Linked DNA regions of Struthio camelus. The protein of the gene in region 3 purifies or fractionates together with the protein of the main gene of each other region. This does not show direct contact. Links are inferred from orthologs where the notes say so. Each region holds a gene or a part of one and is shown on either strand. Other genes may lie near its edges. The genes, in order: LATS2, PALS1, AMOTL2 and NF2.

Region 1 (7,056 bases), on a different chromosome or scaffold from region 3:
GGTAGGGCCTTGAAAACTTGGCCAGTTCCTTCGCAAACAGATAGTACAGCTGGCTTCTGTTGGTTAAATACCACACAAAATCACGACGTTCCTTCAGCCCTCTCAGGCGCTGCTTGGGCTCCTGCTGAAGTCAATGATTGACAAGAAGTGTGGGGCTGGGAGCAGAGTACATAGGAACATGGGTCCTTGGGAAATCCAGTGTTTTCAACTTTCTGAGTGAAGACTATAATGGCAGCCTGAGCCTCCAAAATGCCTTTCCCAGTACAGTGAGCCTGGGTTCATGCTTTGTCTGCAAAGTGGAGTCAACTTCAAGGTCAGATTTGTCCTATTTCATCTGCTTTGTGCTGAAATCAAAGGTAGTTCTAAAGTACCAGTGCTTACATTCTCTTCACCTTTGTCATCCAAACAGAGCATCACGATGGATCTCATAGAAATAGTCCTGATATAAAAAGCACAGCTAAATCAAAGTTAGAATTTAGTTATTTGTATTTTCACCCATCCAGTTACTGAACCATCGAGCCTGACTTTGACTGGCACGAGTGTCACTTTACATCACTGTTGAGCATACGTTACATTCACACGCCTAGGTTAAGTTTCCTATACTCCACCGGAGAACTGAAAATCAGAACTCCTGTTTTTAACTGGTTTTGCATTGGAGATTCGGGAAGAATAATTGCCCAGTATCAGTAAACAAAATAGATGTTTTTAAAACAAGAATATTTCCTTGCTTACCTAAGTCTTCTTTCCTTGCACATCATTCATTTCATAAACCAGTGGTTTGTTCTAGACATGTTCTCATAGTGAAGGATGTCACTGTCTGCAAAATTGTTTGTGTGTGTGCTTGTGTGCTTATACACACATATGCTCACATGTTCATAATCCTTTTATGTATGTGTGTGTGTGTGTGTGTGTGTGTGTGTGTGTGTGTGTGTGTGTGTGTGTGTTTCCTCTATGAAAAAAGACAGGCAGAGGATTAGACATCGTGGGTGATATTCTTGCTTTATCTTTCTTTTTCAAGTTTTCTGAATGGTTTCAAAGTAGCTTCTTGACTACTAGTACTGTGCAAAGAAAAAGTTCATCCACCCACTTCACAATTATTTGGTTGCTAGGAGTATTTTTAGCAGCACGATTTGGTAATTGGTTCAAAATATAATAGTTTAGAAAGAGTCACACTGTGGCCCAGCTAATGGTGATATAAGAGTACGGGGAGGGGAAAAAGCTACTCACTGCATTAGATGTGAGGGGATGGAAGTGAGTTGCACAGAGCTCCTGCTTCTCTCGCTGTCTCAGGTGGGTGGAAAGAGAAGGAACGTGAAACCCTGGAGCCTTGGTCCCTCCCACTGTACCCACATAGCAGGGCAGACAGCTGCTCAGGCAAGTTAAGAGGTGAATGCTATAATCATCATAGATCCAGCAGAGTCACTCACTTGAGCAGAGCCATGGATAGAAACACTGCCCCTTACTCATGGTAGATTATTATCTCATGGTCTAGTCTGCTCATACAGACAAACGGTATTGTTCTTTTTATGTAGCATCTTTCCTTCCGGCAATATCTGACTGTGTAGAACATAGTCAGGAGGAAAGACTTGAATGGTACACAGTAATCTCCAAATACTTACAGAGATCTAATCATGTTTTAACGGAGAAGTTGAATCATGTTACAACTTCCATTCCTGTAGTATTTTTGAGGAAGATGATTTCTAACAGTTTGGGTTTCTCAAGGCTAACAGCAGAAAGTCTGAAGAGGCTGCCAGTCTGCGGTGGACCAGCCTAATATGGGTACTTTCTAGAGAGCAGATGCAAGCCATCTCTCTTGTACCTGTGGCTCTGCTGCCCAGATCCAGACCCAGCAGCTCTGGCCAACACATGGAATGCAGAAAGTGGAGCTGGATCCGAGGGGGGGAAAGCAGTCCAGCTGAGTTTCATTTCCAGATGGACTGGTATGCAAAAGGAAAACAAATAGGTTTGAAGGAGAAAAATAAAAGATCTCTTTTACCTAGATTTAATAATGCAGATGACTGCCACATCTTAAGAAAGGACATATTAGCACACAGTAAGCATTTTTTATCTTGATGCTGTTCCTTTAAGGCAGCCTGAACTTTATTGGGAAAAGGTCTTAAGCCATTGAGCAATCCCTGGTTTGGGCAATCACGTTGCTATACTTCATCAGTTAAGTATAGCAGTAATTCAGAAAATGAAGCCATGCCGCATCTGTCATATCATTTAAAATTTACTTCAGTTCTGCAGGTATTTGAGGATTGCAAAATGAGCCACTTTACCCTGCACTAGTCTGTCAGCATTGGAATCTGCTCTGAACCTAATGGGTTTCTTTAGCTCCCTAGAGTTGGAGGTTTCCTTCCTCCTCCCCCTGGAACATATTCCAGTCAATGACACTATTGAAATTCTGACAGTAATTTATATACAGTAAGCGGCTGACCTCAGATGAGACACTGAACAATTCCTGTGCACCAGGCGGCATTTTTCTCATGAAATAACGGCAGTTTATTTGCAGTCACTTACCATTAATCCCCCTCTCCTCCCAGACCAGCGTCATTTATAAGCACTATTGACAGTTTGCGTGATGGAAATTAAAGAAAAAAAAAAAGATGACAAACAAGCTTAAAGAAATAGCCTTAGACAGGACCGTAGATGAGTAACATTACTCACAAAAATAGTGCCCTTGGCTTTGAAGAGGCTGTAAATATAGCTCCCATCCTAGAAAGACAGTTATGCGCAGACTTTTCTTTATATACCCCCACAGTCCTGTTCAAGACAGTGGGACTCGTCACATGATTAAAGACGACCGTGGGTCTTCAGCACTTGCGGGACTGACATTTCCCCTCATACTGTCGACAACTTTCCCTGCCAAGCGGCTCTTGCCGTGGCTCAGACACAGTTCCTCCTCACAGCTCTGTACCAGAATTTCAAGCATTTTCAAGTTTCATTTCAGGACTGCAGGCTTCTTCCACGTTAATGGTCTGAAGACACACATTTATGTATATATTTACTTTCTCATTGTTCTTAATTTGTATTCGTATCCTCTGGTTGTTGCTAGTGTCGGGGTCTGTGACACTGAGGGGCCAGAATCAACCTCCTTCCCGGATCGAAACATGGCTATGTTGAGGGGGACAGAGACAGGGACACCGATCTCTGGTTGATAATCGGTCTTTACGAGGGACCAAAGAGAGCTCTAACATCAAAACACCCCTGCTTTCATGAAAAACAGGCTCAGCTCCAGGCTGCTGTATCCGTAACGAGGTCCGACGCAAGCTTTGCGACCAAAAATCCCGACCGAATTGCGACTGAATTTTTGATCCAGAAGCGAGCTGCCTGGCTGTCCCGCTACTACTGCTCTGGCACCTCGCAGCACCCTTGATCCTCGTGATGACAACAATAAATACCCGAGTAGAAATAAACAACCTCCCCCAAAGAACTCAAACCAGGAAAAAAACTCAAAAAATCCCAAACAGGCACTGATTTCGAGCTAAACTCACCCCCCCCCAGTAAAAAAAAAAAAAACAAAGCGGCAGGAACACGTAAGGAATAACAGCAACTATAATTCTCATTTTAAAACTCTCCGTTAATAGGAGTCGTGGGAGTCCCCTAAGCCGAGGGGACCTTCTTCACCCCCTTCCTAAACCGTCCCAGCGCCATTCCCACCCCTGCGGCCCCGAGGTGCGGGAGGGCGGGGGAAGGCGGTTGGGGCAAGGCAGGGCCGGTTCGTCGGACGGGAGCAGCGGGGAAGAAGATGGCGGGGGGGGGGGGGAGAAGATGGCGGGGGGGGGGGAGAGGGAGGGCAGTGAGGTGGGAAGGGGGGAGTTGAGAGGGAAGAAAGCGCCACGAGCTGTCTTTAAACGCAGGGAAGGGCGGCCCTCGGGGGGCGGGGAGGGGGGGGAAGCGGAGGGCGGAGGGGGGGTCCCCCCCCTCCGCCCTCCGCTTCCCCCCCCTCCCCGCCCCCCGAGGGCCGCCACAGCCCTAACGGCCCTTCCCGCCCTGCCGCCTCGAAGCCCCTCCCCCCGCTGGTATGTGCCGGGAGGGGCGGTGGCGGTGGGGAGGGGGGGGGAGTGGAATGACGCGGGCGCCCCGGGGTCACGTGACGCGAATGGAATGCTAACAATGTAGCGAATGTCCCAACTGTGCCCTGCACTCGGCGCCCGCCACGGCCGAGGGGGAGAAGATGGAGACCGGCCCGCGCCGTCGGGCCCGCGGCGCCCGCCGCCGCGCCGCTCCCTGACGGACCCACCACCACCACCGCTACCCCGGCGGGCGGCGCGGGGCACCCCGAGGTGGTGAGCGAGCGAAAGCGCGGCTTCCTTCCCCCCCCCCCCCCCAACCCGGGGCTTCTCCCCCACCGCCGGTCACCGTCGGGACGGGGTTGTTGGGGGGGGGGGGGAAAGTTGGAAGGGGCCAAAAGAGCGGCCGCCAGAGGGTCGGGCGCGTCGGCCGGCGGCGGGGCCGGTGCCGGGGCTCGGCTGGCTGCGGCGGGTGCCCGGGGCAGCCTCCCTCGGCGCCCTGCCCGCGCCCTCCGACGTGTTTGCGGCCCGAGCGGGCAGCCGTGTGACAGCGCCTCGCCCGGAGGCCTCGGGCGGCACCGCGAGGGAGGCAGCCGGGCCGGGGCCGGGTGGCCGCGGCCGTGCTGATGCGGGGAGGTTTCAGCGGGGTGCTCGGCGCTGCTGGTGCCGGCCCCGCCGTCGAGGGTGTCCCGGCCGGGTTGGAGCCGCCGAAGCGCCGGGGGGAGCCCCGCGCCGCTGCCCCCGGCCGCTGCCAGGCAGCTGAAGGTCGCCGCCAAAATTCAGGTGGCTCCCGAGCGGGGTGGGTGTGTTGATGCAAGCGCGTACCCGCTGAAAGGCACTTGCGCGAATGACGCAAAAAAAAAAAAAAGGCCAAAAACAAACAGTAGCAAAAAACCCCCACCCAGCCCCGTAGTGTCCAGGTGGTGCGAGGGGTCACTCCGCTCCGCTGCGGCCGGCGAGCCCCCGCCCGTAGCGCCGGCTTGGGCCGGGGCTCGTGGTTGCCCCGGGACGCAGGCGCGGAGTTACTTTTGGGCAGTTTCGTTAGCAGGGGGAAAGGAGAGGTTTGGGAAAAAACTGGGGGATTTTTTTTGGTTTTTTGTTTTTTTCCAGTTCTCCTCACCGCTTTTGGTGTGCAAAGGGGAGCGTGGTTTGTACGGGGGTGAAATGCCAGGAACCCCCCGCCCCTGTGAGTCCTGGACCTTTTAGTACAAAGCAGGCAGTTCCCCTTTCCATAAGTTTGTAATGCAGAAAAAAAGAAAAAAAAAACAATAGCTTTAATTTTAGAGAGAGAAGGTTATTGTGGCAATTTCTTCAAACTTCATTCTTTCCTTCTGCAATGCTAGTTCACCTGACCGCAGTGCCTGCAGGGTTTTATAGGCTTGGAAGCAGGTTGCCAGTTTGGGGTTTGTGACTTTGCTCTCGAAACGCAGCTGAAGCTTTAGTTTGTTTTGCGTTTCCCAGTTCCGCGGAGCCACTGGCACGTGAAGCCAGTTGGTGAATGAAGGAAGCGGAGGGAGAATAGCTAGCGGGCTGAGACGAGACTTCAGCATTTCACTTCTGTGTGGTTGGTTGTTTACTGGCAGAGCAGCTATTAGTATTTCTCAACTGAAGAAGAAAAATCACTTATTCAAAAATCATTTTAACTTGGTGTAGTTAAAGTAATGTTACATTTATTTGAAATGAATCTTAAAAGAGTAATGGTCAAGCTTCTAGTTCGTGCAGAGTATATCGTGCTTCAGGGAGGGGAAAAAAACCCTACTGTTTAGTCAGAATAGCTTGAAGCTCAAAAACAATTCTGAAAAATCATTTCTCGTGATGGCAGAAGGGCTATTGGTGGTACATCCATGTGGTAGGCAAGGTGAAGATTAGAAGGATACGAAGTTATCCAAATCCAGATGTACAGTCAGAAATGCTTAGGCAGAATTAGATACTCTCTCTCTATTTTTTTTTAAGCATAAAAGCCTCTTTATTTTTTTCTGAAAATACAAATCACAGGAAAATTTTTAAAAAGCAGGCAGCTTGTCTTTCTCTGTAAATCATCTCTAATGCCTAAATGTTCCAATTTCTTACGTGTTTAGTTAAAAAACCCTTCTGCAAAATATAAAACACATTTACAGTTAGCTGCGGTACTTAACTGCTGTTGCTGGTCTCATTCATGCTGCCTAAACAATCAGCATTACATTTACAACACTGCTAAACCCGAAAGAAAGCTGCAGAAGCTTCCAGCTGGCCTGACCTAGCATTATTAGACTCAAGCTTAGGCTAAGGGTCACAAAAGTTGTTTATGTGAAGTGTGTGTGTAGGTGGGAAACCAGTCCTTTGCTGTAAAAATGTGGGGGGATTGCAGGCTTCTCCAGCACATCCCTGGCCTGAGCATTGGCACAGGGTCTGAAGAGAGGAAGAAAACCCAGATCCCTAAACCCAGCCATGTGGTGCTTGCTGCTGTCAGGAGAGGAAAGACGGTTATAGACCAGTTAATTGCTCTGTATCATTTAATTAGTAGCTAGTTAAGATGTATTCCTAGAAAGGCTGCAATGCTATTGATTAGCGATACCGTTTTTTTAAACATTCTTTTATTAAAGCTGTGTACTAGCTGCTGCTATATCCTGTCTAGGTGGACAAAATTCTGCACTTGGGATTCTTCAGTTCCCCTGATCTTCACTGAGAGCCATGAACACATAGCTGATTTATTGCTTGCGGAAATACCAAAATACAGATGAACAGCTTTAACACTTTCCTTAAAACAAAGGACAAACCTTGTCAAAGATGCTTGTGGACACGTGTGCCGCTTTTAGTCTGTATGAGTTAGGTTTGCAGGATACCCTTAGAGAATAGCAAGTGGAAGAGCTCACTACCTCACAGATATCCTTTAGATAAGCTTCAGAGCGCTTAAACATGAGGAAAAGAAATTCATATGGGTGTCCTGTGTCACACACATTCTCAGTCTCAGCAGGTTGATGCTATAGGGCTTTGCTGTAGAGCTCTACTACTCTACAGAAATTTCCCATAAAAGGGGTGTATGGCATGCTTTCTAACGGTATGT
Region 2 (6,942 bases), on a different chromosome or scaffold from region 3:
AAGGCTGAAATGAAATTGGATTGCTCTATTAATTTCAAGGTTCAGGGTTTCTGCTGCTGGACTATGGGGGCCAAGAGAGATTTTTTTTTTTTCTTTTCTTACTTAAAACATAATTTAGCTTCTGCACTTTTAGTGATCTTTCACTCTTCTTTGAAACACTAAATACTGGATACAGCTGGCCCTACAGGTGCACTAGTTGATGTGTCTTGCTTACATGCTCAGGGTTAAACTGGTCACTAGATTTGAGGCCCGGAGAGATCAGATTGCTATAAATCAGAGCGGACAGGCCACTGTGGGATATTTTCATTTCCCCTGCAACACAGGGAGGATAGGTAGGAGAAGTCTAAGAAAGAAGGAGCTTGCTCTCATTTATTTTCAATTAAAGGAGACATTAAAATGGGAAGGGAAAAATCCTTATGAAGTCCTTGGACACAGGAGGAGAAGAGCCTATTTATATAGGTGCCAGTCATGAAATTAGAGAGCTAAAAAGAGGAGAAGACGATTTCTCAAAACCTCGCAAGAATAAAAGATCAAAAGGGAAAGGGCAGTCAAGATAATGAAGAAACAGCAGAAAGGTCAAGAAAGAGGATGGAACACAGACCCCGCCTTCAGGTAGGCAAGAATTCTTCAGGGATTCCATTAAAAATGTTTTGGCAAATAAGAGGGATCACACCAGTTTGGAAGGGATCCAAGTTGAAGTTGGAAGAGAAAGTACATCTGTTGTAGACTACATGTTCGGTGAGTTCAGAGATGAAGAGTTTAGAGATAAAGGGGAGGAGAGTAATGGGGCAGATAGATGGGGATTTCTTCTCCTCCAGCCTTTACTAACACAAGCACTGTTGCCACCGTGGCCCTTCTGACTTAGCATTCCTTTTTGCATCAGCCTGTAGAACCGCTCCTGGACGGTAAAACATAAATTCAGTTATGCAGTGATATAAAAGGGAATTTCTACCTAGTCCTTCTGTGATTTTTCATTCCCCCTCCAGAGGGCAATGGTTTCAAAGAAAACAGTTGGTCCTATGTTAGCCTCAGGACTCAACTTCACTGTCAGAAACATTTTTTTTTATTGATTACAATCAGCCAGATTTAGAATGATCAACGGTTATAGGAGTACCCTGCTGGGAGACAGTGATCCTAACTCACTTAAAAGTTATTTCATCAAAGATAAGCATTTTCTTTGTAAACGAATTTGTTTGCGGAATGAAAGAAGGTTCTACTTTAATAATAAACTAAGTTGCTTAAATACATTGGTTCTGTAGCTCCAAGTATGCTTTGATGATCCCATAATGACTGACAGTAAAGCCATTAGGAAGTGCATCTCTAAAATCAAAATGTTCAGGCTCCAAACTCATAAAAGGCCTCAACTGTGTGGGTATTTCTTTTCCGATTATCTTTCACCTGAAGATAATCATTAAAAGCTTTGAAGAAGAAGGGATGGAACAGCAGAGGCAGTACTCTGGTAAGTAATTTTCTGATTTCCATTAAGAATTGTCTTAGTAGATCCTCATATCAAAGATCAGTCAGCTAAGACAAAATAAATAGAGACTTTCCCCATCATTTTTCCATTTCCCTCATCTTCCTCATTCTCCCATTTGTCCTCTTTCTTTGTAGCTCTTGTTTTTAATTTGCCTGTTTTGTTAAATTCAAGCTGGAATGTTGGTTTTCCCACAGCAATTTTTGTGTTCTTCAGCATACTAATAAACAGTACCCACAAGGCAAAATGAACTGGCATTTAGATCTGTTCATTTAAATTGCTATCACAAAGATTTAAAGGAAAAGGTTATCTGGCTCTTTATGAATAATGCTGCTGATCCTGTGCGCTATTGTGAAACCTTTTTCAGGTATGACAATTTCTTGGTCTGAGAGAACATTTTAATCTGTTGGGTAGAATTAGCCAAGCATGCCTCATTCAAGCATCTTATGAATGGATTTGCCAGCTGGGCAAAGGCTAATATTAGGGTTTGTGAAAGCCTGAGGGAGGAGATTGGTTACCAAAGAAACAAACGCATCTTTAAGCAGCTATATTCAAGAGAAATCCCAAGCTCAGCCTTAACCTGGTCTGGCAACCCTTGAAAAGGATTAAAACTTTAGCTACAAATATAAGATAAGAGAACAAAGGAGAGAAATAGAAAATCTAAACTGGTGCGAATGTTTCTCTGATCTGTGATAAACTGCGTAACATTTTGAAGAAAACTCCTGTGTTTAAAAACTGGCTTTGGGCAACACACACACTAGAGGCACTGAGATTTTCACTGAGAGTGACAAGCTGTCAACTGAGGGAAGCTGTAACCAGAACTTGTGGCTTTTTTAGTCTGTTCACACCAAACTTTGATAGAGAAAAGAGAGTAAACCAGCGATCGGTTTGGATGAGGATGAAGACGAGACCACTGAATAGCCAACTGCTAAACGTAGACACTTTTTGTAGCTATTGTAACCTCTAAGCAAGTATCAGATTTTGAGGAAGTCTTTTTTGGTTCTCAGGTCCTTTCCCAAAACAGTGTGTAAAAAAGGGTTCACGTGAACCCTCACCATTTTCATACGAAGGTGGAAAGAACTACTTCTGGTGCTGCTCAGCCATGAGTTAGTACTGTAATGTTCTCCCTCCGTTTCCTTTGCAAAGTAAGTAATTCCACAGTCCACCCATATTGCTATTTCTTGTACTGCTTCACTTTTTCCACTCCTGCTCACTTGATTCAAACGCCCTTGTTACTGAACAAGGTCAGAGCTGAAACAGTTGATTCTGATAGTGAAGAGACATTGCTGCTCTGAAAATGAAAAACTCCAAGGGAGCCTGAGCCACAGTGTGAAAAGGTCTTAACAGTGTCCTCTGCAACTGACCGGACAGGACGTACATTAACGGCAGGTCTGTTGGCCATGTCATATGCTCAGGAATCATGGAATCTGGTTTTGTGGCTTAAACAGAGAGAATCTGCGTGTTCAAAAGGGATCCAAACAAAACATGGTATAGGAAGGCAATTTATAGGAAGTTAGAAGTGTGGATTTCATAACTGAAAATGATAGAGTTGTAATGATTAAACTGAAGCAAGAAGAGATGGGCAAAAAGGAGGTGTCTCTTTAATGGCTTTTTAGTGGCCTACGAAACTGTTTTTTCTGGCCTTGTTATGTGGAACTAGCTACCTTGGCAAGGTCAAGTCATCTCAGACTGCTGTATTTCTTTTAATGCCTCAGGCAACGGTCTTCGCAGGCTAGCCTGAAAAACAGGGGGCGGGAATGCAGTTTTTAGTTCAAAGTCAAACTAAACTGCAGCGCTGAAGATGTATTTCCCTGGTCTCGTAAAGCAGCCACGGTTATAGACCTGGTAAAACCGTGTTTAATGACCTCTTCCCTCCACTCCAGACAGCGGGTCTGTGCCTGACCCTCTCCCTGCTCTTCCAAAGCTGAATCTCAGAATAAGCATTTTTCTTCCCGTAACAGTCCGACTCGGCCTTCGGCTGGGATTGCGAGGCGACAAGGGGAGACGACGGGCAAGGAAGGGACGGCGGCGGCAGGCAGCGCCCCGGGCCCCCGCCAGCCCAGGCTGCCGGCGGGAGGCTGCAGGGCGGCGGCGGCGGGCGCAGGCCTCGGGGAGGACGGAGCCGCCCTTCAGGGAGCAGCGGCTCCAGCTGCGGTGCCCCGGCGCGACCCAGCGAGCGCCGCGCAGGGGCGGCACACGACGCCGGCGCCACGGAGGGCCTGGTTTCCGCCGTGCCCCCCGCTCGCCTCTCGACGCGAGCCGCCTGCAGCCCTCGCCCGCCCTGGAGTGACCATGACGGCAGCCGTTGGCGGCCGCCGCCCTCCCTCAGCGCCCTCCCCTCCCCCCTCCCGCGACGCGCCCCCTCAGCCGGGCGGCTCGCGCGCCCCCGCCGGTTGCGGCGGGCGGTGGGCGGGTCCCGCGCGTACGTGCGTCGGGGGGGAGGGGGCGGGGCGGCGGCGGCGCTGGGAGCGGGCGCGGGGGCGGGGCCGGGCCGGGCTGCGTTTGGCGGCGGCGGCGGCGGCGGCTGCGCAGCTCGGTGGGGCTGGAGCGGTAGTTGTGTCTGTGCGTGCGCGGGCTCGGCGCGGGGACGTGCGGGCGGCCGGCCGTGACTCCCAGCCGGTGGCTCGGCCGGAGCGTGACGACGGCGGCGGCGGCGGCGAGGAAAGGACGGTGAGCGCAGCCCGCGTTGCGGCGCGGAGCTAACAGGTCCCGGCGGGCAGCCGCCAGCCCGGGCTGGCTGCGGAGCCTGGCCGGCGGCCCTGCCCGCGGCGCCCGCACGGGCCTGCGCCTCCGGCCGCGCCGCGCCGGCGGCCGAGGCGGCCCTCGGGGGGACCGGGCAGCGCCCTGGCCGCGGAGGGCGGCCCGGGGGGGCGGCCCTGGCCGCGGTGGTCGCAGGTGCCTGCGCCGTTGCCGGGAGCGCGTGGGGCGGGCGGCGAGGGGGCCCGGCTCGCCCCGCCGAGAGCTTCCCCCCACCTCCGCCGCCGCCGTGCCGGGGCGGCTGGCCGGGGCAGGCGTTGCGAGGGCAGGCCGAGAGGTGATAGGAAGCGGCTGTTCTTCGCTGTGCTCTCCGTGAGGTGGCAGGAGTGGCCGTTTTGTTTGGGTGGGGGGGTGGGTGGGGGGGTTGTTTGCTTTGTTTTGGTTTGGTCGGTTTTGTTTTTGTTTTCAATAAGGGCGCACTTAATGCTTCTCTCCCTTCTTGCACTTCCGATCTGCCGGCAATTCCGTGTTTTGGAAACTTTTGTCTCTGTAAAGAGACCGCCGGTTTGTGGAGCTTCGCAGGATTAGTTTAAAGTAGGTTGAGTATGCCCTGGACTGCCAGTGTAGTTTAATGATCTGCAGTGGGGAACGCGCGTATTGGTGAGGGCGCGGCGGTACTCTGGAGGCTGCGCTGGGAACGTCCCTGCCCCGGCGGTGCCCTCCTGCCGGGAGCCCGGGCAGGGGTTGCGCGGGCAGGCGGCAGAGAGCACGGTGACTTGGAGCGTGCGACGTCAGCTTGCGCGAGTACCTTAAAGGACTTTGTATTTGGTCGAACTGAAAACTGTTGATATTTAAAAAAAAAAAAAAACTGTCCAAAATAATGACTTTAATGTCTCATAGGTGAGACAGACATTCTGGGGGAAAAAATTGAATAATCAGGAATATGAAAAGGGGAAAAGTCAGCTTGAAGCCCTTATAATTGAAATGTTTGGGCATAAACTAACTGCATCAGTTAGAAAAATACTTGTGTTTTGCATAACTGGACGTTGTAGTCGAGCTTTTAAAAAGTGACTGGTGTTTTTCTTTAAGTGTCTGCCGCGTTGGTGCGCAGCTTCAGGCGTCTTGAAGGGGCCTGTCTGTCTCTTTGGAGAATTGGGGTGTTTTTCCTGAATTTCCTAAGAATAGGATATCTTTGATGTGTCTCTGGTTAGGCGTCTGAGCCTGTAATCTTTTCTTTTTGATCTGTCATCTGAATTTTCACAAATGCTACTTCTTTTTTCTCATAATCACCTTAGAACTGTAGTTACACATTTAAATGTCCAATGCTGTAGAGTGTAGCTGTGTTTTGTACATATATTAACTGTTTGCCAACATACTGTGATCCAAAAACCCTCTGTATTTTACATGCTAAGCTGATGGTTTAACAAAGCATCAAATATTTATATTGCAGCACTTTGTGAACCAGTGTACTACAATGTTAAATTTAATTAACATTACTCTTAATACACGATCACTCTTTTCAAAGTAGCCCTTTCAAACTTTGCCTCCTTCTAATGTGTATCATGTGTCCTTACGGAGTATGGAATAGTTATGGGTGGTAGTTTGTGTTCTGTAGGAATTAGATGATGGTAAAGGTGGTGTTTTTACTTAAATTTTACTGAATTTGCTTTCACAAGATCTGAACTTACTTTGAAATGTAAATCAAAATATTTCTTCAGTAGGCTGACTTAGCTGTCTTAGGAATTTGCAAGAATTATTCAGACCATTGAGGGGTGCCGGGCAAGCAATATGTGATGTAGAACCAGTAAAAATGTAATATGGAGGTTAGCCTTTGTACCGAGGATTATGGACACATAAAACAATGTAATCTGAAGTTTATGTGTGTCTGTATATTTTTTTCCATGTAAATAATTATATTTTCATAACACTTTATTTGCTGCTTTGTAATCAAAATCTCTTACTATAGTGAGTTTGAAGTTGCAATCTTTCAAAAATCCTGCGGCATTTGTAGATGTAAATTCTGTTATGATGTTTCCTTAAAGACTGACGCTTAACATCAAATAATAAAAGTTGTAACTACCTGTTTCAACTATTCAGATTTCCCTAATTTGCACTTTTGATTAACTACATTCCTAATAAAATATTAGGCTTTAGAGTTCTGGTAGCTAAGAGTTCAAACAGTCCGCTGCTCCTTAGAAAAAAGGATCAGTATTTGTGTTCGTATGTCAAATTTAAAGTTCTTAAACTTTGTAGCATCTGGCCATTTAAAAAAAAAAACTTCTTAATGTGACAAGTAGTATTATAGAAAGGCTTGATATTACGGTGTTTGGATAATGGGCCAAGTGAGGCATTTGTGAATTTGAAAAGATATGCTGGTACATATGTGATGGAAACTGACTTGGTGGAAACACGGCCTATTCTGTAATTTTAAATCAGGTGTGCTGTAAAAAGTATTTTTCTAGTATAATTATCTACTGAAGCGCTTTATCCAGCACAGTGCTTTATCCAGTTCTGGCGGAATAAGTGTTTTATGTTTATGTCCTCCTCCCCACGCTTCTGACATAACTATGTAGTGAAATACTTTAAATATAATTCAAGTTGAAATGTGAGGCAGATTTCTAAACAAAAGGAAAAAATTATAGCCAGATAAGTTATTTATATGCCAGGATATTTTCAAATAAGCTTTTTTCTTTTTAAAGCAGTTGTGATATACTATGCCTATCTATTGATAGACACTTGTTTTATAGTCCCGAGGATGTCCAATTGCATAC
Region 3 (7,642 bases):
CTTCTAGATGCTGGACCTCTGCATCCCAGCTGCGCAACGAACTCACCCCTGCAGCTGGGGGCTCCAGCCCTGCCTGGAGAGCAAAGCGACAGCAGGGCCCTGGACAAGAAGTCCCTACTCGGCTGGAGACCACGTGAGGTGGCGAAGCCTTGCTTGCTGCTGGCCTTATTCTCTCGGAGTAGTGTGTCCATCCACGCGGCTCCTGGGCCTCAGCTGGTCTTTCCAGATTCAGCATGTGTTTGGGGACGCAGGGACGTGGCGGGAACAGTGTCGAAGAGAGAGACTTCTGCGTGCGCCCTCCTCTCTTCCCTGCAGAAAGGCAGCGGTAGGACCAGTCACTGCTCAGCTGCAAAGGATAGACCTGCAGCTGGGTTTTGGGGTATCGCCTTTACTGGCAAGCCCTGTGCTGATTTCCACCCGCTGAGAGGCCAGCTGGGTGGATTTGACATGTCATCAGTAAAAATTGGCGCTGGAAGCTCTTGTTTCTTAGCCCTTTTATTGTTTGATGGCCTCCCAAGCGCTAAATATAGGCTCAACACCTACATCCCCGGGGATGCTGTAAGGCTGCGTTATGCAGGAATCCAGATTGATCACGCTGGAGTCACAGCGTCTGGTCTCATCTGCCCTGACTTCTGGCGCCCGTAACACTACATTCCTCTTCCTCCAAGCACATGTCCCGTCTCACAAACTCCACACGCACCTTCACCGTGCTCCTCAGCTCTGAATGCTTTCGTGGTTTTACATCACCACTACCAAGCTATCCAGCTCCGTTCGGACCCTACAAAGGACTCATGGAAGGGCTCACTGGGGAAAGCTGAGTGATTTTCAGACGTGTGCTGCCTTGCTCTGCAGTGTCCTGGGCACGCATCTGTCACTCTCCCAAGTGCAATCCCCGTTGTCTCTTCCAAGGATGCTGCTCCCCACCTGCTTGTGAAACTGAGGCTCCAAAGGGGCTTTGGCTCAGTCCCAGGGCTCTGTGAGCAGAGACTTTCCCCCTGAGCAGCTTGTCCTCCCCTCTCTGCCCCGAGCCCCCTCCTTTATCCACAGAGACAAAACTTTCTTGAGGCTGGAAACAGCAGCCTGGAGCAGCAACGGGGCTCGCTGAGGAGTCTCCAGTTAGACACCGAGGCCTGGACGAGGCTAAGGGGTTTTGTTCCGTGTTTGGAAGGTGCTGGATTCCCTCTCTCAAGAATGGGAGCTTAACGTCCCGTATCTAATTAGCAATTTTCCCTGCACCTGCCCCTCTGCCCGCCCCCCCCTCCCCGCCAGCCCTCTGACCATCTGCCGTCTCTGAGCCCTGCAGACAGCAGCAGTGAGCGATGCGTCTCAGCGGCTGCTGGGCACGTGTGTGGTGCGGGAAAGCTGCTATGAGACAAGAAGGGGCTGCCCGCTCCTTCATGCAGCCCTTAAGACCGGGAGAAAGGCCAGAGCCCAGGACGCTGCTCCCTGCTGCAGGCTGGGACACAAAGGCTGCAGCACTCAGAAGACAGCTGCAGCTAGTCCTCTGCATGAGAATCACCAGCCAAAGTCCTGAAGACTGAACTCGGTCTTGTCATTTTGGTGTCCCGACTCACGACGTGGCCACTGGGCACCGATGTTTAGTGGCAAGCACAGCCAGCGCTATGCAATGAGTTGTCTGGGTCGCAGGGCATCGGCGATGCCCAAGCTCCTGCTTGGCACTTCTGGCCTGCTTCAAACTCTCTCCAGTTGCCCTGAGGGTTTTGGCTCTGAAGAGACTAAACTGATGCTGCTCCCAACAACCTCCTGTTTCTACTTGAAAGCAAGTAAAACAAGGCAACTTAGAGCAACCAATGGACCCTTTAATCGGCGTAGTTACTTTGCCTTGCCTGACCCCGCCACCAACAATGTGGTGCCAGGAGTCCTTCAGGCCAGGAAAATGAGGCTGACTGAAGCATAAGTGGCCTTCTCTAAGGCTGGTTCCCAGCATGCGTCCACGGGCAAACTCTTCTCCAGCTTGCCAAGCCCCAGGCCCTGCACAAACAGCCTCAGGGCTCCTGGCCAGCTCATGCCTTGAGACAGGTCTTGGAGGAAGGTGTTGCAGGACATGTGCCCAGCTAAGGACCTCACTCCCTTTGGGGTTAGGATTTGGGCTGTGACTTGAGCACCTTCGTGTTTTCAGTTGACTTCCAGGGTGCTAGGGAAAGGCCGAGATGGGACTTGCATTTCTCTTCTGTTGGTCAGCGTCTTATTCAGCACGTCTTTGTATCACTCACATACTTGTTTTGGGAACGGACTTATCTGTGGTTATGGGTTCTCTTTATTTCCCCAAATATGAGCTGGGGCTCTGAGGTTTTGCAACAGCCAGTGTTATTTTCCTGGCTAATCCCCATCCAGCTGCAAGAGCCTTACTTCTCCCCTCACCGTGCTTCCCAGACACAAATTGCTCTCCGTAAATCAATGCTCAATGCTCTCAATGCTCTCAGTCACCCCTGTGACTGCATGCAGGTTGTACCAACCCTGCCAGCTGTCTCCAGTGACAGTACCTGGCCGGGGAGCTCCTGTATACTGGGGTGCTGACCTGTGGCGGGTTATAGCCAGAGGACCACTGGCCTGGTCACCCTCCCTGTACTCCCGCAGAGTCTCTGCCACAGCAGCGGTGACTACACTGTTCCTGAGGCAGGTCCCATGGGATCCCTCCTTCCAGGCACCCCTGATTTCAGCTCCTCCTGAGGCCTACGTAGCCTCAGCGCTGCCGGGGAGGGGGAACCCAGCACCCTGGCAGAGTACGGCTCTGGCCAGGAGTTTCTTGGCCCTCCTGTGGCATGTGGGGCTGCAGCTCCATCCCAGCAGCAGCACAGGAGGAAAATGAGTGCAGTCTCCTGATGGGAAGGAATGGCTCCCTCCGTCCCCCTTGCTGAGATAACAGGGGCAGAGGGGGAAGAAATATGCAGCAGGGGCCACGCAGAGGGGAGGAAAGGGAGTTAATCTTTGACCTGAGGTGAGCAAATTGCTGCCTCTGCGTCCCCCTTCGCATTGTGCGGGGAAGGGGAGAGGAAATCGCCACATTCCAGAAATTACCAAGTCAATGCAAAGCCAGCGAGGGGGCCGGGGCCACCTCTCCTTACCCACCAGGCCTCACCCGAGCTGCCCGCCTGTGGCGCAGCAGGAGGCCGAGAAACCGAGGCCAAGCCCAGTGCAATCAGGCTGTCAGCGCAGCGCAAGCCTGGTCCTTGTAAGCATCCCGACCGTGGCTGCAAGGAAGGGTGAGCTCCCACCATCTCTCTCAAAGGCAAGAGGCTGGGCAAGGAGATCAGCGCAACCACAGAGGAGAGGCTGAGCTCTTCCCAGGGCCCACAGCACCGTGCCGGCGCTGAGGCATGCAAAAAGATGTAGGGCTTCGCAGTCAGCGCTCATGTTTCCCGCCTGCTGTCACGGATCAGGCACCCTTTGAGGGTCCCTGGCTCTGGAGACCTCCTGACCTGCCTGCCGCGAGTAGGAGAGGGTCCCGTGCAGAGGAAGGATGCTGGGGGCACCTCTCCGCTGTTTGCTCTCACCTCCCCGTAGGCTTGCAGCCTCAGAGCAGCAACAAGGCCAGAGGTAAAAGCCCTGCTCTCTGTTGCTCATCTCTCTGTGGCTCATCCTGTCTCCCCTCCATCTCTCCCCCTGCCTCCATCCACTTTCCACGCCTGGACAGCCAGTGTGACAGCCCGAGCAGAGCGCGTCCCACGCTGTCCATGCCAGGCCACCCCGCTCACTGCCTCACCCTGGCATCTCCGTACCCTTTTGCCTCCTCAAAGAGCAGAGAAAACGATGCCTGAAGCAGCCCTGGGAAGGCCCCAAGCATCTGCGCTCCTTGTGCTCACTGCGAGTTGACATCACCTACCCGAGGGGGGGCGGCGAGGAAGGGAGGGCCGTGGTGGGAGGGGAGCGTGAAGGCGAAGCAGATGGGGCAGGCAGGTTTTTATCGGGCTCATTTGGTGTTAGAGACAATGGAGTGTCTCTCAGAGCCTTGATTAAACAAGAAGTTTTATTCTCCTGGACAGCTGGCGGGCAGAGCCTGGCTGCCCCCCCCGCATGGAGCGCGTGCCCCCCCCCACCCCGGGGCAGCTGCAAGCTCCTCGCACACACGCAGCGTGCGGGGGCCCCCCAGCCCTCCTTGCCCGCCCCCCAGTGCCACACTGGCACGTGCACGGCCCCCAGCCCGTCCCCTCCACCCTGTGCATGCTTGCCCAGGGCCCGGACCAGCTGGGCACCACCGGTGGTGCCACCACCAGCTCCCAGCTGTTAGTGTGCGTCGTCCCCGCGCTCGCCACGCGCTGGAGGGCTGCAAAGCGCTGCCACACCCGGCCTTATCCAGCTCCGGTGGGTTTTCCCTCGAGTCCTTGCGGGATCTCCACGCGCAAGGCTGGCGGGGATTTTCTAGCCCTCCGAACTGGAAAGCGGGCTGGGATGAGGGACCGCAGTACGCTCGGGGTGCGAGCAGGAAGCGGGAGATGGATTTCTCTCCTTTCCGAGCTGCGCGTTTGCAGGTCCGCCCGTGGCCGACTCCGCTGCAACCCCGGCAGCCCTGCCTCAGTTTCCCCGGGCGGCGCGGGGCCGCGCCGAGGCTCCCCCTGTCGGCGGCCGCTCCCGGCCCGGCCCGGCCCGGCCCCGGCCCCGGCGGCGGCGGGCGGGGCGAGGCGGGTCCGGCCCCGCATTCCTGGCATAGCTGGGCCCGGCCCGGCCCCCGGCTGCCGGCGCGGCGCGCAGTGCCGCCGGCCGCGCTCCCCGGGCAGCACCGTGGCCGCGCTGCTCCTCGCCATGCTGCGGTAAGTGTCGCCCGCCCCGTCCCGCAGCGCCGCTGCCTTGCCCTGTGCCGAGCCCCCCCCGCCGGGAGCCCGGCGCCTCCGTTGGGGGGGGGGGGGGCGCTGCCTGCGGCTTTGCTCCGACTGCTTTGCTCCGTTTCTGCGGCGGCGGCGGCGGGGGTCGCGCTGCCCCGGCCCGGCCGGACGAGCCCGCAGCGCCGCTCGCTCGGGGCTGGAGGGTGCGCGCCTTCGCCGGGAGCCTGCCAGCTGGCTGCAGCCCGCAGGCTGCGAGGAGGGGGCCGGTGCTCAGCCCTCGGGCTCGGTGGAGGCTCCGTCCGCCCTCGCGCTGACGCGGAGGGCTTCTGCTTGGCCAGCGCACCCCGGGAAATGGATGCCTGCCAGGGCGCCCAAGCGGGATTCCTGGAAAACAAAACCCTTGGAGAGCGTGCATTAAGAAGCTTTTGCTGTTTCCTGCCTGGGCCGGTTCCTGATGTCCCTTCTCTCCCCTCACAGGTGCCTCAGCGTGGCTAGTTGCCGCTAGATCGGGGGACATCTTTCTCTGGTGGAAGTGGAGGCTGCCAGCTGAGCAGGCAGAGATGAGGACGGCAGAGGATTCAACCGGGACAGTTCTGCACCGCCTCATCCAGGAGCAGCTGAGATACGGAAACCTCACTGAGAACCGCACGCTGCTGGCTATCCAGCAGCAAGCCCTGCGCGGAGCGGGCGGCACCGGCAGTCCCCGCTCCTCTCTCGAAAGCCTTACCCAAGAAGAAAGCCAAATGGTGCAGCAGTCCACGCGGCAGGAACCCCAGGGCCAGGAGCATCACTCCGACCACGTCTACTTGGAAAACAGCCTGTATCGGCTCTACCAGCCCCAGCACAAGGGCGAGGAGCTTCCGACGTACGAGGAGGCCAAGGCTCACTCCCAGTACTATGCCTTGCAGCGGGGTGGGCAGCAGCCTGGGGGGGCCTGCCAGGCCGCTCCTGGCGAGAGCGGGCAGCGCAGGGCCGAGAGCAGCGGCAGGCGCCCGGACGACTCGCTGAAGGACCTGAAGCACGGCCATGTGAGGTCGCTGAGCGAACGCCTCATGCAGATGTCCCTGGAGAGGAACGGGGCCAAGGCGCAGAACCACATGAGCTCTTCTCACAGCTACCCCCAGCTTTCCAGGCACTACCAGCTCTCTGCCCTCAGAGGCCACCACTCCGAGGGGACCGAGCCACGGGGACCTCCTCCAGAGTACCCCTACGTCCTGCCTTCCCAGGACGCCTCGGTTGCTTACCTGGCGGATCCCAGACCCTGCTCGCGGGAAGGTCCTGCATTTCAGCACCCTGACATCAGGTAACCTACAGCCCCTTGCACAGGTGATGAGCTCTTCTGGGGGTGCAGCGTGCTCAGGAGGTGACTCCCAGCCCAGTGTCCTGTCTGTTCTGGTGCCCCTAGCGCACGGATAAGCCAGGGTTTGCGGAGCACGAAGATCCTAGGCTGAAGTGGCTAGCCACAAGTTGTGCACCCAGAGTGGGACGCAGTCTGCGCACCCCAGAGAGCGATGGGAGCTTTGGGTGCTCTACGGCTCACCACTCCCTGGAGGAGAGGGCTGAGCCAACTGGGCACATGGGGCATGCAACAACCTCAGCACCACTGCTGAACTGCTCATTCTCACAGCGCTGGATTCGGATTAGCTCAAGGCCCCTGCACCAGGTTTTGTGGGGGCTCTGGGAGCCATAGGTGCCCCTGTTGCTCACCTGTGGGGCACCATCTGTACCTGCTGACCACACCAGTCCTCTCATCTCCCTATTGAAGTGCCAAGGCCACACTTGCCCTTGGTGCAGCCAAACTGGAGGTCAATTTTTCCAGTTGGCAATGAAAATTCAACTGCCTCCAAAGATCCTTCCCCCCCCCCCCCCAATGCTCTGGACGGAATTTTGGGTTAATTTAGGAGCTGGAACCAGATCAGGAAATGGCTAAATTTGGAACAGGCATGGGCCAGGGTGGAAGGAAAATGTACTCACCACTCCATGGAAACCTGTCCTTGTGGTCCCAAGCTGGGGGGAGTCTGCAGGCTGATGACAGAGCAAATAACGCTGGCACAAAGAGAGCTGCATGCTGTCCAAGGGAGAGAGGTTAGCACTGGATTGACGTGCTCTCCATGCCACAGGGGAGTTCTAGGGAAGCTGATGAAGGCCTCTCTCTCTGCTCGATGGAGCTATGGGCTGGTGAAGGTTGTTAGTGGAGCAGATAAAAAGGCACAGGGCAATTTTCCTTCCTTTTAGTGTCTTTACACTGCTGGCAAAGCCTGGCTCTGCCGTCCTCAGGTTCTTTCTAACAGGGCCCACGTAAAAATCTGCTAGGGCAGCTCTGGGAAGCACAGAGCATCAGGCCTTCAGCCGGCATCTGGAGTGGGCTTGCTTCTACTGCTGCACAAAAAGAGGGACAGAAGAGAGTTGCAGGTTGCTGCTGCACTGGGGGAAGGTGGAAGCGCGCACCACGGTTCCTGCCTCGCTGACCTAGCCGGACAAAAAACGATAGCATCTCTGGCAGGAAATGTTCTCTTTCCAGGGGAACAAAGAGGGGAAGGGGAGCTGCAAGGGAGATGTATTTATTCTTTCTTGCTCCTATATCATCCCGCAGGAATGCGGTCGCTTGGCGGCCAGCCGTTGGCAGAGCCCGGCCGGGGTCCCGTGCCGCGCCGGCTCCGGCAGGGCGGCCGCGCGGCGTTCTGGGGATTCCAGGCTGCTGCTGGGACGTCGAGGAACTCGGAGCAGTTGCTCCAGTGCGGGACGTGGTGGGGAGGGCGGCAGGGGAGCCAGGCCAGCCCCTGCTCACCGCGTTCAAAATATAATAAGGATGTATTCGTAGTCTCTTGGAGAGCTCTTTTAGTAAAGAGCCACCCGGGGAG
Region 4 (7,275 bases), on a different chromosome or scaffold from region 3:
CCTGTAGAGGCCGGTACGGGTCAGGACAAGGCCTGTAGAGCTTGGTGCGAGTCAGTATGAGCCCACAGAGGCTGGCAGGGGCCTGTACAAGCTTGGCAAGGGCACGTACAAGCCCATAGAGCTCGGTGCAGGCCCGCAAAAGCCCACAGAGCTCAGCATGGGCCCATACAATATAATCCAGGCAGAGGCAGGCATGGGTGTGTATGAGCCTGTACAGGCCAGTACGGATGTGTACAAGTCCATAGAGGCCGGTACAGACCTGCAAGAGCCTGCAGAGGCGGGCACGGCTATAAGCGATCCTGTAGAGGCCGTGCATGGGCCCATACAAGCCCAAAGAGACTGGCTCAGGTGCGTATGGGCCCATAGAGCCCAGCACGGGTGCCTATGAGCCCGTAGCAGCCAACGCTGGCACATAAAACCCCATAGAGGCCAGTGCAAGCCCCTACAAGCCTGTAGAGACCAGCACGGGTGCATATGAGTCCGTAAAGGCCGGTACAGACCCCCTGCAAGCCCATAAAGGTCAGCACAGGTGCATAAAAGCCCACAGAGACTAGCCTGAGCCCGTAGAGACTGGCATGAGCCCATATGAGCCCATACAGGCCAGCATGCACACCTACAAACCTTTAGAGGCTGGCATGGATGCGTATGAACCTGTAGAGCCTGACAAGGGCCTATATAAGCCCGTAGAGTCTGGTAGGGACCCCTACAAGCCCCCGCTATGGGTGCATACGAGCCTGTAGAGGACAGCATGGGCACAAATGGGCTTGTAGAGGCTGGTTTAAGCCCCTATGAGCCTGTAAAGACCAGCACAGGCACATACAAGCCTGTAGAGGCTGGAATGGGCCTGCACAAGGCCAGGGAGCCCGGCACAGGTGCCTATGAGAACACAGAGGCTGGCACGGGTGCCTACGAGCCCATAGAGGCCAGAACAAGCCGACACAAGCCAGTATCAGCCAGCATAGGCTCATACAAGGCTGTAGAGGCCGTCACGGGCGTGTATGATCCCACAGAGGCTGGAATGGGTTTGTATGAGCCCATAGAGATGGCACGGGCCCATACAAGCCCATGGAAGCCAGCACAGGTGCGTATGAGCCCGTAGACGCCAGCAAGGATGTGTACACGCCTGTAGAGGCCAGCATGAGCACATATGACCCGTGGAGGTCGGCATGGGCGCATACAAGCCCACAGAGGCCGGGGCACGCCTGTGTACGATCCCATAGAGGTTGGCACAGTCCCGTACAAGCCCATAGAGGCCAGCACAGGCTTGTACAAGCCCATAGAGGCCAGTACGGACCTGTATAAGCCCACAGATGCAGGCACGGCCGCAGACAATCCTGTAGAGGCCCTGCACGGGCCCGTATGAGCCTGCAGAAGCTGGTTTTGGAGCGTACGAGTTTGCAGGGCCCAGCACGGGCCAGTACAAGGCTATAGAGGACAGCATGTGTGCATAAAAGCCCATAGAGTCTGGCACAAACCCATATAAGCCTGTAGAGGCTGGTACAGATATTTACAAGCCCATAGAGGCCAGAATGGACCTGAATGAGTCTGCAGAGGTCAGCACATACCGGTGCATATGATCGTGTAGAGGCCCTGCACGGGCCTGTATATGCCTGTAGAAGTTGGCACGGATGCATATGAGGCCATATAAGGCTGTAGAGGCATGCATGGGCATGTACGAGCCTGTAGAGACCGGCACAAACCCCCGTGAGCCCGTAGAAGCTGGTACGGACATATACGAGTCTGTGGAAGCCAGTACGGACCTGTCTGACCCTGTAGAGGCGGACATGGGTGCACACGAGCCCCTAGAGACCAGTAGGCATCCGTATGCTCTAGAGGACCCTGCTTGAGCAGGGAGGTTGGACTAGATGATCTCCAGAGGTCCCTTCCAACCTAAACGATTCTGTGATTCTGTGATTCTGTACGAGCCTGTAGAGGCCGGTACGGACACGTACGAGCCCGTAGAGGTGGGTACAGCTATGTTCGATCCCATAGAGGCCCTGCACGGGTACTTACAAGCCTGTAGAGCTCAGGACGGGTGCATACGAGCCCATAGAGGACGGCACAAGTGAAAATGGGCCCATAGAGGCTGGCTTAAGCTCCTACGAGCCTGTAGAGACCAGCATGGGCCCATATAAGCCTGTAGAGATGAGCACAGGCCTGTACAAGACCATGGAGCCTGGCATGGGCAGGTAGGAGACCACAGAGGCCAGAACAAGCCCATACAAGCCCATAGAGCTTAGCAATGGCCCGTGCAAGACAGCAGAGGCCAGCACAGGCCCGTATGAGATCACAGCCATGCCGAGCTCGTTCAAGCCTATAAGCCCAGCGTGGGTGCGTAGGAGCCTGGAGAGTTCGACAGGGGCCCATATGAGACCGTAGAAGCCAGCACAAGCCCATGAGCTGATAAAGGTCGGCATGGGCCCATACGAGCCCATAGATCCTGGCACAGGCTCACACGAGCTCATAGAGGCCAGTATTGGCATGTACGATACATCTGGGTCCCCCCTCACCACAGGGACCCAGGCGTCCGGGCCCCATTCCTACAGGGACCGTGATGTCTGGGGCCCTGCTCACCTAAGGGACTCATAGCTCCCTCTGGCCCCATAATCCCCTCCTGCCCCATAGCCCCCTCCTGCCCCATTGCTATCTTCATCTGCCCTCTGTGTCCCCACATGTCCCCCCTGTTCCCGCATATTCCTCATGTACCCCCATATCCCCTGTGTCCTGCCTTGTCCCCTGGCTCCCCACTTGTCCCCCTTCTCCCTCCGTGTCCCCCGCGTCCCTCCCCACCCCCAGCTTGCAGGGCACCGTGGCCGCTCACCGAGCTGCGGCTCCCTCCCGGACGCCTGGGTCCCCGCGAGCGGCCCCGCTGCCCGGAGCCGTGGGGAGGGATCGGCGGCTCCCGGTGACCGCTCCCAGAGCGGATCCCTGTGCAGCATTCTGGGGCACGTCTCGGGGCAGATCCCGGGGTAGGATCCCAGTGCTGGATCCCGGGACAGGATCCTGCTGCTGGATCCCAGGACAGGATCCCAATGCAGATCCCAGGGAAGAGTCCTGGTGCAGGATCACAGTGCAGGTCCCAGGACAGGATCCCAGGGTAGGTCTCATGGCAGGATGCCAGTGCAGGATCCTGGGGCAGATCCTGGTGCAGGATCCCAGGTGAGGTCACGGGGCAAATCCCAAGGCAGGATCCCAGTACAGGTCCCAGGACGTATCCCAGGGCAGGATGCCAGCGCAGGTCCCAGTGCAAGTATTGCTGAAAGAATCCAGGGCAAGATCTCGGGGCAGGTCCTGGGGCAGATCCCGGGGCAGGATCCTCGAGCAAATCTCAGGGCAGTTCCCGGGGCAAATCCTACTGTAGGATCCTGAGCGAGGATCCCAGGGAAGGTCCTGAGGCAAGATCCCAGGGCAGTATCCCGGGGCAGATGCTAGGGCAGATCACTGATGCCGGATCCTGGGACAGGTACCAGGGCAGGATTCCACAGCAGGATCCCAGTGCAGGTCTTGCTATAGGATCCCAGGGTAGTTCCCAGGGCAGAATCCTAGGACAGGTCCCTGGGCAGATCCTGGGGCAGGATCCCAGGACAGGTCTTGTGCAGGATCCAGATGCAGGGTCCCCGTGCAGATCCTGGTACAGGATCCCGGGGCAGATCCCGGGGCTGGATCCCAGTGCCAGTCCCAGGGTAGAATGCCGGGGCATGTCCTGGGGCAGGATCCCACAGCAGGATCCCAGTAGAGGATCCTGGGGCAGGGGGCGCACGCAGATCCCGGGGCAGGATCCCGGGGCGGGAATCACCGCACGGTCCTAGAGCCCGTTGCACATCCCCCCCCCCCCCCCAAAAAAAAAAAAAACCGCCCTCCACCTCGTACGCATGCGCACAGAGGCCGCGCCGACGTTGGGGCTCGACCTGCGCCGGGGAGCGCCTGGTCCCCCTCGACGCCAGGGGGCGCCCGCGCAGCGCCCATCGGCCGCCCTGCCTCTCAACCCAACCTGCGGGGCAGATGCGCGGGGCTCTAGTAAGCCCGCCTCTTCCCTGTGAGTGGCGGCAGCCCCGTCCAATCACAGCAGCCGCTGCTCCGTCCCTCGCAAGCAAAGACCATGGCGGGGCGCGCGCAAGTTTCCTATTGGCGGCTGCTCCAGCGCGACCCGTGGCTACGGGGCGGGACAACCCTGCGCGCGGGGCCAATGGCGGAGCGCCGCGGCTAGGGTGCGCCGCGGGCAGCAGGCTCCGCCGCGGCCCGGCCCGGCGCTGCGCGGCCCCCGGGCGCCCCCGGGCCCACCCGCCCGCCCGCCGCCGCCGCCATGGCCCTGCCCTTGCCCCGGCCCCTGCCCCGGCGCCGCGGCCCGCAGCGCTGAGCGGCCGCGCCCTGCCTGTCCCGGCCGCCGTCATGGCCGGGGCCATCGCCTCCCGCATGAGCTTCAGCTCGCTGAAGAGGAAGCAGCCCAAGACCTTCACGGTGCGCATCGTCACCATGGACGCCGAGATGGAGTTCAGCTGCGAGGTACCGGCCCCCCCCCCCCCCCCCCCCCGCCGCCGCCCCCTGTGCCCGCGGCGCCCCCCCCCCCCCGGGGCCATGGCGACACCCCCCGGGGAGGGGGGGGACCGCCGCCGGGCAGGGCTGGCGTTGCCCGTTTGGGGATTTTCCTCCCCCTCGTTAGCCCCCCTCTCGCCCCCGCGCCACCTCTCGCCGCTCCTTTTTGGGGGCCGTCGCCTCCGGGAGGGCCCTGCCGCCCGCTCCGGGCCCGCGGTCCGCGCCGTCGGGGCCGAGGGGTTTGCGGGCCCCGCTGGAGCCTCCGCTCCCTCCCGTCGCCTCCAGCGCGGAGCCGCGGCCCCGGCGGCAGCGGTTCCACCCCCGGGGCGGCCCGGGCTGCGGGGCCGCAGGAGACCCTGCGAAAGCCGGAGGCTGCGGCTCGCTGCTGGGAGCGGGCTGCCAGCCCGCCGCCTCTCCCGCCGCGCCGGCGGCTGCCGTCTGGGCTTTCCCCGCACGCAGGGAGCAGAAGCAGGCGCAAACCCAGCGGCGGGCTGTCACTAAGAGTGGGGAAGCTGCTGCTCAGTGCCCCGCGCCGCTGCCTTACCCTGGCCTAAAGGGAAGGTGAGCCCCTGCGTCTGCGTGCTTTCGTGCTTTCCGTACGTTATAGCCTAGCTGAGAGCAGGCACGAAAAGTGTAAGTCCACAAAGATAACTTTTTGGAGAGGTATGAGAGAAGGAAAATAGACCATTTGTATCTCGGATTTACTTTACTGTTGTAACTAAGCTGCTTGCTGATCAGCAGGCCTCATGAGGAGACTAGAGCTTGAGTTATATTGGGTGCCAAGGCTTAAATCTATAGGGATTCAACTTAAAACACTCAGGAAAACAAAATTTTCAAATGCTATATGACTTGCCCGTTCCATCCGCTGGATGAAATGTGTTTGCAAAGGCACAAGATCATGTTCTGATCTTCACTTCTCATCTGTTTATCTTTTTCTTTGATACCTTCTTTTTCTGGCCCTTGATAATTCCTTGGCACTCTTCCCTTGGGGGCTGATATCAGCTCCTAAGAGCCTAATTTGTAATCACTGTTTTTACATGATCAGCTGGGCTTCTAAGTTGGGCGCTTAATGACTGAAAGCCAACTCTACCCAGATTAAAACATAAACTAGTTTAAAAAGAAAGGTTCTTCATCTGATCCAAATTTTGCTGCAATTCCAGTGCCCATAAACCGAAAAGGTATTTGCCCTTGTAAGCTTTCTTGCTGATGAAATGTGTTGTCAGCTCTGCGGAGCTTCCTCCCATTCCCAGAGATTAAGGATTTGTTTTCACCCACAGTGGCGTGAGGTTCCCACCATCACTCTGCCAGGAGAGGTGAAGCGTCCTGGCTTGCCTCGTGCCTCCTTTCCTGAGGCTGCCAATGATAAAGAAAAGGACGTACTTCTTTTTTAATAGTATGGCCACTTGTCCTTTCATGTTGGGCTTCAGGTATTTCTGACAGGGGAACGCAGCGCGCTCGGGTTGGGTTCAAATGTGCAACTCGTGCATCTGAAGAAAAGCCTGTCAGGGAGGTTCCTGCCCAAAAAGCTTGTTACTGCCGATGGGCTTCTCTGTGCACAGGAAGGACTGAGAGTCTGTGGGAGGGATGCTGCTCTGCTCCCCTGGTGAAGGACGCAGTGGGACTTTGGCTGTCATCCCTCAGCGCAGAGGAGCGCTCGACCTGGGGAAAATTGGAGCAAAGCGGGGAGGTCACGGGGCTGTTTCGCGCTGTGTCTGGTGCAGGTGAGGTGGGAGTTCTAGTCGAGCTGCGTGTCTACTCGCTTGGTCTGCAGCCACCCTGTCCAAACGTGCCGAGGAGGAGTCGGGGATCGCCGATGAGCCATCCTCTCCCAGCGAGCCTGGCTGGGCGGAAGACAGAGGGGATCGCTGCTGCTTCCAGGCTGTTCCTCCATGTGCTTGTCCCCATCCTTGCTGCCGCTCTCCAGTCATCTCCTGGCCCCACAGCGGGATGAAGCCAGCAGGCAACAAGGGGCTGGCAGTTCCTCCCCAAGGCTGCAGGTCCCTTGGAACAGGAGCTGTGCCTCTGGTTCACCTCCAGCCGCAGGACCCATAATAAACACGGCAACCCTCCTGGTGCTGGGGCTGCCATGCCTCGGTGGGGAGAGGCTCTGCTACAGGCAGAGCTGGCCAATTTGTGTCACCCTTCCTCGCTGGTGTCTCGTGTCCCTGATCCCCTCCACCTCCTAGGATCTTTGTCCTTCCTCTGAACAGCGGAGGCAGCCGCTGCTGTGACTGCCCTTCCGCTCCTGCCTTTCTGTGCAGCGTTAGTATGACTGTTTGTTTTTTTAAATATATATTTTGTTCCACAGCTTTCTACTGTGTGTTTTCATCAGTTGGGCTTCCCAGCCCTGTGATATTGTTAACAACTTGAGGACATGCCAGTGGAGGCCCAGGCCATTAAGGGTGCCCAGGGCTTGGTGGAAACAGTTGAGCCAGTGTGGCTGAAGAAGCAGTAATCAATAACTGGCTCCCTCACGGCGGGAAGTACAACGGGTGGCTTAAGCTCACCCACTCTGCTCAGCACGTTTTTTTTAATGTGCTCATTTTTAAATCTGTTCTGTAGGAATCCCCAGCTGTGCATTTCAGGAGATTAAACCTGCTTTGCATCTGTCTGTTCTGCAAATAATGTCCCTAAATTGAGTCTAAATCCGCAGTAATGCGCAGAAATGAGATCTTAATCTTTGTAATGCTGTGATGGAACTTAATAATCACAGCTGGGGTTTCACTTTAAAGATTCATAATT

What was found.
Region 1: the proteins of AMOTL2 (region 3) and LATS2 purify together in Homo sapiens (affinity purification with western blotting; 3 studies listed by BioGRID). This does not show direct contact. The link is inferred for Struthio camelus from reciprocal best matches to the Homo sapiens genes AMOTL2 and LATS2.
Region 2: the proteins of AMOTL2 (region 3) and PALS1 purify together in Homo sapiens (affinity purification with mass spectrometry; 3 studies listed by BioGRID and IntAct, counting the BioPlex papers as one, with this or other methods). This does not show direct contact. The link is inferred for Struthio camelus from reciprocal best matches to the Homo sapiens genes AMOTL2 and PALS1.
Region 4: the proteins of AMOTL2 (region 3) and NF2 purify together in Homo sapiens (affinity purification with mass spectrometry; 5 studies listed by BioGRID and IntAct, with this or other methods). This does not show direct contact. The link is inferred for Struthio camelus from reciprocal best matches to the Homo sapiens genes AMOTL2 and NF2.

Annotation. Positions count from the first base shown.
Region 1 is NC_090942.1:203,549,139-203,556,194, forward strand, and holds the start of LATS2 (serine/threonine-protein kinase LATS2), read left to right. Parts: upstream 1-4,049; 5' UTR 4,050-4,289; intron 4,290-7,056. UniProt on the Homo sapiens protein: Negative regulator of YAP1 in the Hippo signaling pathway that plays a pivotal role in organ size control and tumor suppression by restricting proliferation and promoting apoptosis.
Region 2 is NC_090946.1:46,765,853-46,772,794, reverse strand, and holds the start of PALS1 (protein PALS1), read left to right. Parts: upstream 1-3,938; 5' UTR 3,939-4,144; intron 4,145-6,942. UniProt on the Homo sapiens protein: Plays a role in tight junction biogenesis and in the establishment of cell polarity in epithelial cells.
Region 3 is NC_090950.1:2,975,184-2,982,825, reverse strand, and holds the start of AMOTL2 (angiomotin-like protein 2), read left to right. Parts: upstream 1-4,632; 5' UTR 4,633-4,769; intron 4,770-5,258; 5' UTR 5,259-5,341; coding exon 5,342-6,084; intron 6,085-7,642. UniProt on the Homo sapiens protein: Regulates the translocation of phosphorylated SRC to peripheral cell-matrix adhesion sites. Required for proper architecture of actin filaments.
Region 4 is NC_090958.1:5,129,441-5,136,715, reverse strand, and holds the start of NF2 (merlin), read left to right. Parts: upstream 1-4,269; 5' UTR 4,270-4,389; coding exon 4,390-4,503; intron 4,504-7,275. UniProt on the Homo sapiens protein: Probable regulator of the Hippo/SWH (Sav/Wts/Hpo) signaling pathway, a signaling pathway that plays a pivotal role in tumor suppression by restricting proliferation and promoting apoptosis.